2 linked regions of the Lepisosteus oculatus genome follow. The protein of the gene in region 1 purifies or fractionates together with the protein of each later gene. This does not show direct contact. Links are inferred from orthologs where the notes say so. Each region holds a gene or a part of one and is shown on either strand. Other genes may lie near its edges.

What was found.
Region 2: the proteins of daxx (region 1) and crebbpa purify together in Homo sapiens (affinity purification with western blotting; 3 studies listed by BioGRID and IntAct, with this or other methods). This does not show direct contact. The link is inferred for Lepisosteus oculatus from reciprocal best matches to the Homo sapiens genes DAXX and CREBBP.

Annotation. Positions count from the first base shown.
Region 1 is NC_090709.1:38,547,107-38,554,717, forward strand, and holds the start of daxx (death domain-associated protein 6), read right to left. Parts: upstream 3,012-7,611; 5' UTR 2,926-3,011; intron 2,815-2,925; exon of another isoform or gene 2,769-2,814; intron 2,495-2,768; exon of another isoform or gene 2,490-2,494; intron 1,637-2,489; 5' UTR 1,610-1,636; coding exon 1,415-1,609; intron 715-1,414; coding exon 355-714; intron 1-354. UniProt on the Homo sapiens protein: Transcription corepressor known to repress transcriptional potential of several sumoylated transcription factors. Down-regulates basal and activated transcription.
Region 2 is NC_090714.1:3,324,976-3,331,830, reverse strand, and holds the start of crebbpa (CREB-binding protein), read left to right. Parts: upstream 1-3,848; 5' UTR 3,849-4,683; coding exon 4,684-4,771; intron 4,772-6,855. UniProt on the Homo sapiens protein: Acetylates histones, giving a specific tag for transcriptional activation. Mediates acetylation of histone H3 at 'Lys-18' and 'Lys-27' (H3K18ac and H3K27ac, respectively).

The sequences.
Region 1 (7,611 bases):
TCACCTGACTCCCTCTCCCCTCTCTCTCTCTCTCGGAGCTCACCTGTCTCCCTCTCCCCTCTCTGCGCTCAACTGTCTCCCTCTCTCCCTGCGCTCACCTGTCCCCCTCTCTCCCTGCGCTCACCTGTCTCTCTCTCAGAGCTCACCTGTCTCCCCCTCTCTGCGCTCACCTGTCTCCCTCTCTCGGCGCTCACCTGTCTCTCTCTCTCCCTGCGCTCACCTGTCTCCCCCTCTAGGGTTAGGGGTTAGGGCGCTCACCTGTCTCCCTCTCTCCCTGCGCTCACCTGTCTCTCTCTCAGAGCTCACCTGTCTCCCCCTCTCTGAGCTCACCTGTCTCCCTCTCTCTGCGCTCACCTGTCTCCTGGAAGCCCTGGGCCGAGCCGGCTGCCCAGGGGGCTCCTGCTGCTCCAGCGGCGCTCCCTCTGCGCGCTCCTCGGCGCCCGGCGCGGCGGGCGTCTGCGCGGGCGTCTGCGCGGGCCGCAGCAGGGCCGGGCGCCTGCGGGAGGCGCTGTGCTGCTTCAGGACGGTGCACAGCTCGTTGATGTACACGTAGGTCTTGGCCCGCTTGCTCTGGACCCGGGTCAGGCAGCGGCCCAGCCGGTTCCGGAACTCGACCGAGCCCAGGAAGTCCGGGCTGGCCTTGGAGTGCTTGGACAACAGGTAGGGGATCACTTCCGGGTTGTCTCGGGTCAGACTGGAGCAGTACTCTACAAACTGAGAGAGAGAGAGAGGGGTTCATACAGACACACTGACTGGACACTCCAGTACATGAACACTGCACTGAGAGAGAGAGGGGTTCATACAGACACACTGACTGGACACTCCAGTACATGAACACTGCACTGAGAGAGAGAGGGGTTCACACACACACTGACTGGACACTCCAGTACATTAACACTGCACTGAGAGAGAGAGGGGTTCACACACACACACTGACTGGACACTCCAGTACATGAACACTGCACTGAGAGAGAGAGGGGTTCATACACACACACTGACTGGACACTCCAGTACATGAACACTGCACTGAGAGAGAGAGGGGTTCACACAGACACACTGACTGGACACTCCAGTACATGAACACTGCACTGAGAGAGAGAGGGGTTCATACACACACACTGACTGGACACTCCAGTACATGAACACTGCACTGAGAGAGAGAGGGGTTCACACACACACACACTGACTGGACACTCCAGTACATGAACACTGCACTGAGAGAGAGGGGTTCATACACACACACTGACTGGACACTCCAGTACATGAACACTGCACTGAGAGAGAGAGGGGTTCATACAGACACACTGACTGGACACTCCAGTACATGAACACTGCACTGAGAGAGGGGTTCATACAGACACACTGACTGGACACTCTGCACTGAGAGAGGGAGGGGAGGTGGACAGTCTCTGACCTCAGAGAAAAGCTGGTTGTTCTCCAGCCGTGTGGTGTTGCTGCCTCTCTCTCGGGCGTCGAAGGGCGAGTGCGTGATGTGGGAGGGCCCGGGTTCGAGGGGCGGCGAGGGGGCGGGGTGCTGAGGCCGCTCCTGCTCTTCCTCCTCTTCCTCCTCGTCGTCATCCAGGATCACGATGCTGTCCACCGTCGCCATGGCGATCTGGACCGGTCCGGACGGGGGCTGGAGAGAGGGAGGAGACAGGTCCCGGGTCAGAGCCCCGCCTGGGAGAGCTGAGTAACTGCTGAGATCAGAACCGGCCCTCCTGGTACAGCCCGGCGCCGGACTGGGGGCACTAACTGAGCCCCCCGCTCCCCAACACTGAGAACACACACAGGGGACCCCAGAGACACCCCAGAATCACACCCTCCTCTCACCCCCCAACACTGAGAACACACACAGGGGACCCCAGAGACACCCCAGAATCACACCCTCCTGTCTCCCCTCTGACACTGAGAACACACACAGGGGACCCCAGAGACACCCCAGAATCACACCCTCCTCTCTTCCCCCCTGACACTGAAAACACTCACAGGGGACCCCAGAAACACCCCAGAATCACACCCTACTCTCTTCCCCACCCCGATACTGAGAACACACACAGGGGACCCCAGAGACACCCCAGAATCACACCCTCCTCTCTTCCCCGCCCGATACTGAGAACACACACAGGGGACCCCAGAGACACCCCAGAATCACACCCTCCTCTTTCCCCCCGACACTGAGAATACACACAGAGGACCCCAGAATCACACCCTCCTGTCTCCCCCCGACACTGAGAACACACACAGGGGACCCCAGAGATACCCCAGAATCACACCCCCCTCTCTCCCCCCGACACTGAGAACACACACAGGGGACCCCAGAGACACCCCAGAATCACACCCTCCGATCTGCCCTCCTCTCTCCTGGACCAGGAGCAGCAGTCCGGTCCTGACAGTGTACCCCCAACAGGGAGATCACACACAGGGGACCCCAGAGACACCCCAGGACTCAGTCCTGTTCCGGCAGCGGCCCGGTTCCGCCTGTCATCCGCACCCACCACCCTCCCCCAGCCTGGAGCGCAGTGGAGCAGAACCGGGACCGGCAGAGGGCCCAGCTACTCCCGAGACAGGCGAGCGGGCAGGACCGGGCCGGGACCGGGGGATGGATCGGCGCCTGGCGGGGACCCCCGGGCCAGAACCGGGCTGGGACTGTCCCACCCGGGGTCACCAGACCGACGCCCGAGCTTCGCTTCCCCAACACACCTCTCTCTCGCTCGCTCGCTCGCTCACGGGTCTCAGTTTCAGTTTTATTATTTTATAAAAGCAGAGACCCAGAGCGGCCGCCCCCTGCGCCGTCTCCCGTCTCCTCTCCGAACCGAGCCGCGGCGAGACCCGGGGGGGGAGGGGGGGCAGGAGGCGGGGGGCGCGGCAGAATAAAGAATAAAAAATAAAAACAGAGCCACCCGGACTCCCAGGAAAACTACTTACCCGCTTCGTCTCCGGCCTCTGAACTCCGCCGCCCCGCAGCACGGCGCGATGCCATTGGCCGCGCCGCAGTAACGCCGCCGCTGATTGGTGGGCAGGAGGGGGGGAGGCGGAGGCTGGAGGCACAAAGGATGACGGCGCAGGAGCAACGTCGCCGGAACGGGTCAGAGGTCACGTCGTGCCGTAACCGGACATGGCGGCTCCCTTTGCCGTACAGCTTAAGGAGTTGTCTGATTTCAGGTCCGTGGTGGATCTTAAAATTATTTTTTTTATTTTTAAATCTGTTCCCGTTTTTCAATCTTCCTGAATTCCAGGCACGAGTTCGGAGACACCAGGTTTACCCACTCAGCGTGTCCAGTGAGTCAGGGACCCTCCGAGGGGAACGCGCAGACTCCACAGGGAAGGTCTCCCGTTCCAGAATCGAGCCCGGCGGCCCAAACCAGGCAGGCCGCTTGACGCCTGTCGGTCCCTCAGGCCCGTGTAATTGACCTGGGCTCGGCTGGCGCCAGTACAGCAGCAACAGCCACTGTGAAGGGGACTCCAAACTGCACAGACAGAGGGCGCGGGACTCGGATCAAAGAATAAAACCTTTATTAGACCACTCGCTCGGCAAGCAAAACCAAAATCCCGTGACATTGCGAAGCCAAGGACACAGCAGGAAGGGTTAATTACACTGGACCTCTGATGAGAGAGAGAGAGAGCGCGCGCGTCACCTCAGCCCTGTCCCCCCGACAACCGGCTGCCGGGAACTACAGTTCCCCTCGAAAACAGTCCCCCCCTGGTGACGCACGGTCTCGATCGGAGGCGACAGCTGCAGGCCGGAGATCACCACCGACGCAGGCCGGAGCTGAGCTGAGCTGAGCTGAGCTGAGCTGAGGCGCGCTGGCGGACCTGCCCACGACCGCCAGAGCAGGAGGGATGTTCACAGTCTAGTGCAACACCGGAGCGGTATGGGTGAGGGGCGTTTCTCAGCGTGAAACTGTGCTCTTGCCTTGACTGTCTAGAGCGCATGTTGAGAGGCTGGAGAGATACAGCGATTGTTTTCAGGAACATCCCTGCCTGCTGTCACAGTACAGCTCCCCCCCGCGCACACAAGAAATGGAACAGTCCGTTCTGCATATACTGTCATACTGAAACAAAACGATTCACTCTCTCACACACACTGTACACTCTCTCACTCTCTCACACTATACACTCTCACACACACTGTACACTCTCTCACTCTCTCACACTATACACTCTCACTCTCTCACACAATGTAGACACTCTCTCACACTATACACTCTCACTCTCTCACACTCTGTAGACACTCTCTCACACTATACACTCTCACTCTCTCACACTCTGTAGACACTCTCTCACTCTCTCACACTCTGTAGACGCACTCCAGTCAGTGTGAGACACACTCTCCCCGGAGAGTGAGACCAGCCTGGCGTTCTCCTCTGGAAGGTCTGGGAGGAGAGAGACCGAGAGAGGCGGGGCAGGTGAGAGGACACCGGGCCAGCCGTGGGGTGACGATGACGATGGTGACGACGGCTCTGCTCGTGTGATCAGGAGGTGTGCGAGGAGTGTGTGTGTTTTAAGGCAGTGTGTGTGTGAGGAGTGTGTGTGTTTTAAAGCAGTGTGTATGTGTGAGGAGTGTGTGTGTTTTAAGGCAGTGTGAGGAGTGTGTGTGTTTTAAAGCAGTGTGAGTGTGTGTGTGAGGAGTGTGTGTGTTTTAAAGCAGTGTGTATGTGTGAGGAGTGTGTGTGTTTTAAGGCAGTGTGAGGAGTGTGTGTGTTTTAAAGCAGTGTGAGTGTATGTGTGAGGAGTGTGTGTGTTTTAAAGCAGTGTGTATGTGTGAGGAGTGTGTGTGTTTTAAAGCAGTGTGTATGTGTGAGGAGTGTGTGTTTTAAGGCAGTGTGAGGAGTGTGTGTTTTAAGGCAGTGTGAGTGTTTGTGTGAGGAGTGTGTGTGTTGTAAGGCAGTGTGAGTGTGTGTGTGAGGAGTGTGTGTGTTTTAAAGCAGTGTGAGTGTGTGTGTGAGGACTGTGTGTGTTTTAAGGCAGTGTGAGTGTGTGTGTGAGGAGTGTGTGTGTTGTAAGGCAGTGTGAGTGTGTGTTTTAAGGCAGTGTGAGTGTGTGTGTGACTCACTCACCTGGAGAGAGGAGTCTGTCCGCCTGCGATCACTCCTGCTTCTGAGAGAGAGTGAGACAGAGGTGAGGAGACACTGAGGCTGGACAGGAGTGAGAGGGTGAGAGAGGGGGTGGGACAGAGAGGTGAGAGGAGAGTGAGAGAGAGGGGTGAGACAGAGAGGTGGGAGGAGAGAGGGAGTGAGAAAGAGGGGTGAGACAGAGGGGTGAGAGGAGAGAGGGAGTGAGAGAGAGGGGTGAGACAGAGGGGTGAGAGGAGAGTGAGAGAGGGAGTGAGCGAGCGTGTGAGAGTCAGTCTTACCTTCTCCGGCTCCTCTGGGACACTGGAGTCTGTGGACAGACAGACAGACACACAGTCAGCACCAGCAGAGACACAGGGCTGCCCTGAGGCTCACCGCTGCCCAGACACCTCTGACATCACACACACACTGGGACAGTATTAATGATGTCACACACACTCATACTGGGACAGTGTGAATGAGGTCACACACACTGGGACAGTGTTAATGAGGTCACACACACTCATACTGGGACAGTGTGAATGATGTCACACACACTGGGACAGTGTGAATGAGGTCACACGCACTGGGACAGTGTTAATGATGTCACACACACTCATACTGGGAAAGTGTTAATGAGGTCACCCACACACACACTGGGGCAGTGTGAATGAGGTCACACACACACACTGGGACAGTGTTAATGAGGTCACACACACTGGGACAGTGTTAATGAGGTCACACACACTGGGACAGTGTGAATGAGGTCACACACACTCATACTGGGACAGTGTGAATGAGGTCACACACACACTGGGACAGTGTGAATGAGTTCACACACACTCATACTGGGACAGTGTGAATGAGGTCACACACACACACTGGGACAGTGTTAATGAGGTCACACACACTCATACTGGGACAGTGTGAATGAGGTCACACACTCACACTGGGACAGTGTGAATGATGTCACAAACACACACTGGGACAGTGTGAATGAGGTCACACACACACACTGGGGCAGTGTGAATGAGGTCACACACACTCATACTGGGACAGTGTGAATGAAGTCACACACACTGGGACAGTGTGAATGAGGTCACACACACACACTGGGACAGTGTGAATGAGGTCACACACACTGGGAATGACAAGGCGATGGATAACGAGCCGATAAAGACCTGTGGTCTTCAGGGTCCAGCTGACGATCTTGATGAGGCCGTACAGCAGCAGGGCCACAGCCACCATGGCCATGGAGTCCTCCACTGTGGGGCCGCCGACACCTGCGGAGACAGGCAGGGGGCGCTGTGAGGGCCTCTCGCACCCCAACACTCACTCACTGACTCACTGACTCACACTGACAGGCAGGGGGCGCTGTGAGGGCCTCTCGCACCCCAACACTGACTCACTGATTCACACCGACAGGCAGGGGGCGCCGTGAGGGCCTCTCGCACCCCAACACTCACTCACTGACTCACACCGACAGGCAGGGGGCGCTGTGAGGGCCTCTCGCACCCCAACACTGACTCACTGATTCACACCGACAGGCAGGGGGCGCCGTGAGGGCCTCTCGCACCCCAACACTCACTCACTGACTCACACCGACAGGCAGGGGGCGCTGTGAGAGTGTGACTCGCTCACAGAGTGGGCAGTTAACCACAGCAGGAACAAGGACATTCAGGGTCGCACTGGCTCATTAAGGAGGGTGTTAATCGGTACCTGCGATGTTCAGGGTCATGCTGGCTCGTTAAGAAGGGTGTTAATCGGTACCTGCGATGTTCAGGGTCATGCTGGCTCGTTAAGGAGGGTGTTAATCGGTACCTGCGATGTTCAGGGGCACACTGGCTCATTAAGGAGGGTATTAATCGGTACCTGCGATGTTCAGGGGCACACTGGCTCGTTAAGGAGGGTGTTAATCGGTACCTGCGATGTTCAGGGTCATGCTGGCTCGTTAAGGAGGGTGTTAATCGGTACCTGCGATGTTCAGGGGCACACTGGCTCATTAAGGAGGGTATTAATCGGTACCTGCGATGCTCAGGGTCACACTGGCTCGTTAAGGAGGGTGTTAATCAGTACCTGCGATGCTCAGGGGCACACTGGCTCGTTAAGGAGGGTGTTAATCGGTACCTGCGATGCTCAGGGGCACACTGGCTCGTTAAGGAGGGTGTTAATCGGTACCTGCGATGCTCAGGGTCACACTGGCTCGTTAAGGAGGGTGTTAATCGGTACCTGCGATGTTCAGGGTCACACTGGCTCGTTAAGGAGGGTGTTAATCAGTACCTGCGATGTTCAGGGTCACACTGGCTCGTTAAGGAGGGTGTTAATCGGTACCTGCGATGTTCAGGGTCATGCTGGCTCGTTAAGGAGGGTGTTAATCGGTACCTGCGATGTTCAGGGGCACACTGGCTCGTTAAGGAGGGTGTTAATCAGTACCTGCGATGTTCAGGGTCATGCTGGCTCGTTAAGGAGGGTGTTAATCAGTACCTGCGATGTTCAGGGTAACGCTGGCTCGTTAAGGAGGGTGTTAATCAGTACCTGCGATGTTCAGGGGCACACTGGC
Region 2 (6,855 bases), on another chromosome or scaffold:
GATATTTTAGTGCAACTGATCACAAAGCACACACGTTCCTGTTGGCTGGAAGACTGGGTGGTTTTAGTACATCTTGTTTGAAAGCGCAGTTACAAATTCCTTCCATCATTGGTACTCCAGCTGTCTTCTTCAGAATGTGTCGAGAAACATTTAATATCGCAATGCTTCTCCATTGTTCGGTGTTAAAGCTCCGAGTTGTGGACATTGTTTTAAATAACTGAAAGTCGCCTAAGCTAAGGCTTAGCAAGGTAAGTGAAAACGCTGTCCGTAGCATAGCAAAAAAAGCATTATTACCAGTTTACGACTATGAAACGGTTTTTGACATAAGCCTGCATAATACGTGCCATGTTAGGAAACTGTAAAGCCTATATAGCCTGTGTCCTGCTTACTAGGATGAAGTTTAGTTACGACGTTCACCTTCTGTATCTTGCTTTTCTATTAGTTTGGTATCTGTTGCTCTTACACTGTAAACATTCTCTTCACGGACCACTGCTGACTTGAGGGATGCAAATATCCTGTCGTTGTTTCGCTTGCGCTCTTAAAATGTAGCAGAGAAAACTGCCGTCATCGCATTAAATTCAGCGATACTTGTGTCTAAATCGAGCCGGATCTCTGATACCTACAAAAGCAGGTTAGCCGTGTCTTTCGGTCAGAGTTTATCCGTCAAAAAGAATAAATACGGGGGAAATGTAAGGCGTCCGGATTTACAAGTTCTAAAGAGAACCTTAAATCCACACTATCTACAGACGGTTCACCATTAATTGTTGACAACAATTAAGCCATCAAGTCACACAATTAAGTCATCAACGAGGTAAGAGTTACAAAGGAAAGAAGGCCATTTGATTAATGTTTTTGTTTTGTTGGTGGTAGATAATTGCTCCCAGAATCTTATCCAGTGGCATACCAGTCTCGGAGGGGGTTTTCCAGTGCACAGTAGTGCAAAGTGATTTCCTTCTTCTATCTAGAACATTTGCTAACATCCTGTCCTGTATTACCTGTGAGTATCTAGATTCATAAATAGAGGGTTGTGGTGTTCAAATCCCAGGCGTGATACTTCTGTTGTACCCTCGAACAAAGTACTGGAATTGCTCCGGTGAACTACTCTGCTGCTTAAATGAGTGCAAACATAAGTCGTTTTGAATCAACGTGTCAGCCAAATAAATTGGCAATTAAACGGGTATCTGTAACAAGTCTGCAGACTGTCCTGGAGTGAGATGAAGGGCACTGACTCCTTTGAAGAGCCCAAGTCCTAGGTGGAGCTTTCAGTCAGTGAGTACCGCTTACCTGTGCACAGGTGCCCCACCTCGGTCATTCAGACTCAGAACTGCGCTGTGATGTCCAGGACCAGGGTGTCTAGTTCAGGAGTGACCAGTCCTGGACCTGGAGGACTCCAGAGCAACAGGTTAGAAGTTATCCAGAAATGATTCTTTCCCTCAGTTTATTGGTGGGGGGGGTAATTTCGAGATCTGTTGGGATTAAAACCAATTAACCTCTCCAGAAACATTTGTCCTCCAGAACAAATGCTGCTACAAACGGAAGTCTGAGGATACAGCTCATTTTGCTTCTTGAGTTACTGGGAAGCGGGAGGCTTGGAGATCTCTTCCAGGGTTTTCTTAAAAGATCCCGGGGAATCTTTTGAAAATTTGTCCCGTTGGACTGCAGACACCCACGCTCCTTTCGTTACAGAGATGCTGCCCGACTTTGACCCAGATGCAGAATGTTTTCCATTTTCTCTTGTAACTCTGGCACCTGCGTGCCAACTTGTGTGCTGTTTCCATGTTGCTCACCATTTTAAACTCACGCAAAGCCTCCGTTGTTCAACCCTGAAGAGATTTAGCTCCTTGTCTTATGAGACCGTGCTCAGCGTCAGAATTAACCTTGTGACTCTTCTTTGAACGGAATCCAGAGCAGGAGTGTTTTTTTTTGGGAACCTGGTGACCACATTTGTGCATCTTATTCGACGCAAGTAAGTCATAGACGTTATATACAAGTGTATTGTATATCATATATCTTATCACTTTTAATAACTGCTTCTCCAATTCAGGGTTGTGGGGGTGATGGAGCCTATTCTGCAAGCAGCAGGCACAAGCCAGGATACACCCTGGACAGGACACCAGTCCATCTCACGGCACGCACGCTCACACCAGGGACAATTTTCCCAGAAGCCAGTTACCCTGCCAGTATGTCTTTGGACTGTGGGAAGACACCGGAGCACCCAGAGGAAACCCATGCTATCACAGGGGGGAACATGCAAACTCCACACAGACAGTACCCCAGGAAATGAACCCAGGGCTGCAAGGCAGTGGTGCTCATGACTGTGCCACCATGCCACCCTTATATCTGATCTTAATTTTCCATTCAGAAATCTACAATCCCCCCAAACCATTTGTTAGTGATGCTGCTTTTGCTGCATTTGATGTTGTATCAGGTAGGTTTCTCACTTTTCTGCTATGCTTTTCTCAGTATCGTAGTGAATTGTGGAGATGGCAAAGTTCCTGGACTTGGAAGTGTGAAGTGTTCTACTAAATTTAGACTACACTATCCTGAACTATTAGAAATGGGTCTTGCAGACTGGACTGTGGCGTTACTTTAGTACTGGTGTTATTTGTGGTGTCTCCTTAAACTTTCTCCTCAGCCCAGCAGGAGGAGAATTTTCTCACTGCGTCACCTATTCTGCTAGTGCTGATCTCTCAGGTGAGTCTGCTCTCCAGTGGTGGACAAAATGGGTCCCCTCCTATACATTGAGAGAGAAGAGTTTATTTGCGAGATGCACATGTAAATTCTCACAGTTCTCCTGTGACATGCACAGTACAATAGACAAAACCCCACAATCTGCACAGTCCATTACAAAAAAATAATAATGACAGCCACAACTGACTAACATACACAACAACATACTCAACGGTTTTTGCTATCTGATGTATTAATGAGATTTATGCAACTGATGCAATGTTGAGTAGTAAAATCGGTTTGTTGCAGTATCATGGACATGGGGAATGACCTCCAAGATATCAGACTCCAGCCGTGTAGTGGTTGATCAATTTCAGGTGTTGCTGTTGTGCTGATGCAGCTGAAAAGCAGTCTTAATTAAACCAATTTAACTTGTCTTTGCGTAGGGATACAGTGTTTTTACAGTATTTGCAATAGCCTGCACCTTCAAAGATTAAAATAGGCACAAACTGTTGCAACGGCGAGCCGTTTTCTGTTTGGGAGCATTTGCTATTTTTTTTGTGGGGGAAAAACACAACTATAATTAAACGATACGATGTGCTACGCGAATGTATCATCTTTACAGCGTAATACGCACATTGGTAGACTTTTCACAAATATGACTATAAAGACGTTGCGTGTATCATCCGACAAGGTTATTGAAAAGTGAGTTTATTTTTGTCGGTTTGCTAGAGACCATTTGGATTAGCATGGGAAAATAAATTTTTTTGGACATATAATAATAATTGCTTACACTTATATAGCGCTTTTCTGGACACTCCACTCAAAGCGCTTTACAGGTAATGGGGACTCCCCTCCACCACCATCAATGTGCAGAAAATTAACAGAGTGATCTGAGCATTTACTGGAAATGCTCAGATCACATACTTTGGCCGCTTGATCAGAGTCTGTACAACGCATTCCTAGAAACAATTCAATGAGAACACCCCCTTTCGAAGCGTTTCACACACGCTACACGTCCGTAACACCCGTCTAAACAACCCTTTTCAATTCGAGACATTCGGGTATTTCCGCCCCTAGAGGCATCTTCGTCAGTTTCCGTGTGACGCACGGCAGAGCCGTGCGTAGGGCGTGATTGCGCGGCCCCTCCCCCTCGCGGTCTATCTGGAAAAAAAACTTTTTGTATCGAAGGAATCAACAGCCGCCATCTTGTCGCGGCTCGGAGTCAGGATTTCGGGAGAGCATTATTTTTTATTGAGAACCGGAACATCCGAACCGAGGCCAAACGGGTTTCTTCTGCCGAAAACGAAAAGCTTAGACGCCTTCGAAGACATTTCGTGAGAAAAAACGGAGATTGGGTCGGTTTTCATCGGCCAGAAAACCCCCCATATATCTGATTTCCCCTTCAGAAAGCGCCGCTTCGCTCCGTATCTTGGTTCGCAGCCGTATTGTTTACCGGGAGCAGCCGGCGGACAGACAGCGGGGAAGGGGCGAAATAGCGCCGTGAAATATTTTTTTTTTGCACCGGCGCATTTTTTTCGCCGGCAGAAGGGGGTTTTTAGGCAATTAAATTGACGTCAGAAAAAAGGGGGTATTTAAAGATGCGAATTTAGCGCACTCCGCAGGCACGAAAACGACCAAAAAATCCATCGGGGAGATCGTATTTAATTTTTTGTGCCCTTTGTTCCTTCGAAAAAAATATTTTTCATCGGAGGTAATTATTATTGATAATAATGTGGGTGTTGGGTGTTGGATTATCATGGGGTGAATGGTTTTGGCGAAGCGGGGCGCTGTAGCTACTTTTTTGAGAATTTCGCCTTGATTATTTCGCTCCTGCAAACGGAGAGTAGAGAGGAGGCGAGCGTGGAGGGGTTGCTCTCTTTTTGGTTTTGATTTTTTTCTCGGGGGGTGGGGATTATTATTATTATTTTTTGGGGGGCCACCGATCCCTCCCCCCCCCCTATTTAGAAAAAAAAATAACCCAATCACATCTAACGATCCGAGTCGATCGCCATGGCCGAGAACCTGCTTGACGTCGGACCTCCCAACCCGAAGCGGCCGAAGCTGAATTCACCTGCCCTGTCCGCCTCCGACGGTCCAGGTAAGGCCCGACTGCCCCCCGGCTCCCCGGCGTGACAGTGTCACCGCCGGCGTGTGCGACACGGCTCCGTGCGCACCTTTGCATCGCAATACTTTCCTTCTGGAGTGTGTGCGTGTGCGTATCGCCTTTGGGTGGTGGTGCTGGTGTCTCTTCTGAACTGGGGCTCGATCGGGAGCACCCCGGCTGTGCCTCTTGCTGGGCGCTGCGCGCAATCGGCTCCCCGCTCTTGTGGTGCCAAGGCTGGGCGGCAGAGGCGTGGAAACGGGGAAGGTGTGCGTTTTGCCCGTGTGCTGGGTCTCCGCCGTGTGCATGGCCCGGCTGCAGGGGACAGTGTTTGGTGGGTGGTGGCGGTGTGCCTTTCGGCGTTATGAGATTTTTTTCCCCTATGCCAAAAAATGAGCATGCCCCCCCCCACCACCACCACCACCACCTACACCGTCTCCTCTACCGACCCTCTGATGCCCCGCTTCGTGTCGGTTGGTGGTCGGCTGCAAAACAGACTCTTTGACGTCGCGATTTGAGGTGCCGATGTCAGATGCGTTTTTTGTTTGTTTGTTGTGCGGTTGAATGTGGTGGTCGTAGCCAGGTTTTGATCGAGAAAAGTCCCCGTGGTGGTGGCGTTTGTTGTCGACTCTGCACGGCAGCGAGATGTGGTGCCGTGCGTCAAAATTCATACTCCCCCCCACCCCCCTACAAAAAATATTGAAGTGACCGCGGGGACTCGCTGGACAGCTCCCTGTCCTTTCATGTTGGGCAAGATCGTGGCCTTTCGTAGGAGACCTGGGTGCAGCCGTGCCGTTGACAGCGGACCACCTGGGCAGCGCCAGCAGCCTGCGCTTCACAAGCCGAGGATGGACATGCAAGAGCATGACAAGAGCGACGTCTTGTATTGCTCTTCCCCCTCTCGGTATCCGAAACGATCCACCCCCCTGCCCCGGTGCCGAAGCGGCGGCCGGGCCCCCTGGCGCTGGGTCCCGGGTCCTGGCCGGAGCCGGAGTTTGTTGCCCGGGAGGCGGTGTTTCATTGCAAGGCGAAGCGGCTATGACACCGGCAGGGAGAAGCGTGCATCGGGTGTAGCGCTGGAGGGGAGGGCTTGCGCCTGTCAGTCAGCGGCTGAGCCACTGATCGATCTGATTGACACGGCTGGTTTGAGAAACGGTGGTGGTGGACGGGACTCCGGGCTGGGTCGCACCCGGTTGGTTGGTCGGTCGTCGGAGTCTGTCCCGCGTGTGGTTTGTGGATCCTCCACCCTGCCCGTCCCTCCACCCCTCCTCCCGATCTGATCGCCAAAACACTGTTTAATTCGGGGATCCCCTCAGTTCTGCTTTCTGAAAACGAAACGGTTTGGTCTGTGTCCTGTAAGCCGAGGGGGGCGTGACGCCGTGCGCTCTTGGCCGGAGACAGGAGCTCCGCTGGCGCTCCTGGCGTGCCCCTGCAGGCTGTGTGGAGGGAGATCTCTCGGCCTGGGAGGGTGGAAACTCTCGTATGTTAGCTTTCCACAAGTGTGCAGACCCTCGCTGTGCTGTCGGACAACCGGTGCGCCATCCCAACCGGTCACGACGGGCAACAGTGCCGGGGAAAGTCACGCCGGTACGGTGCTGGCATCTCGATTGCGCGTAAGCTGACGTGGGCGTGGAGGCAGGAGAGCGCTGTAATTTGAAAGCTGCTGTGATTGGTCGGATCGGAATCATTAAAAGTGAACTTTAACAGCTTGTGCTTGGACTATAGCCGTCCATTGTCTACCTAATTAAGGGGGCATTTGACGGATTTAAAGCCCAGCGCCTGCTGTCAGTCTGGGTTTAGGAGAGCGACACTTGCACGTTTTTCCACGGCTTAAGGTCTGATTCAGTTATATTCATTGAGCGGTCATGCCAGAAGAGTGAACTAAGTTCCCATTTGCGTTAATTGTGTTTTCTATCCAGCAAAGAGAGGCTTTTCTGGGTTTTAAACATTACCTTGTGCCAGCAAGTGCGTTGTTAAAACGTGTATTGGTCTATTTAAAATACACTTTCACTGTATCTGGACCCTTTTCAACTTTAGAATAACAGAAATATCCCTACCCTCCGTTTTACTGTTCCACCAAG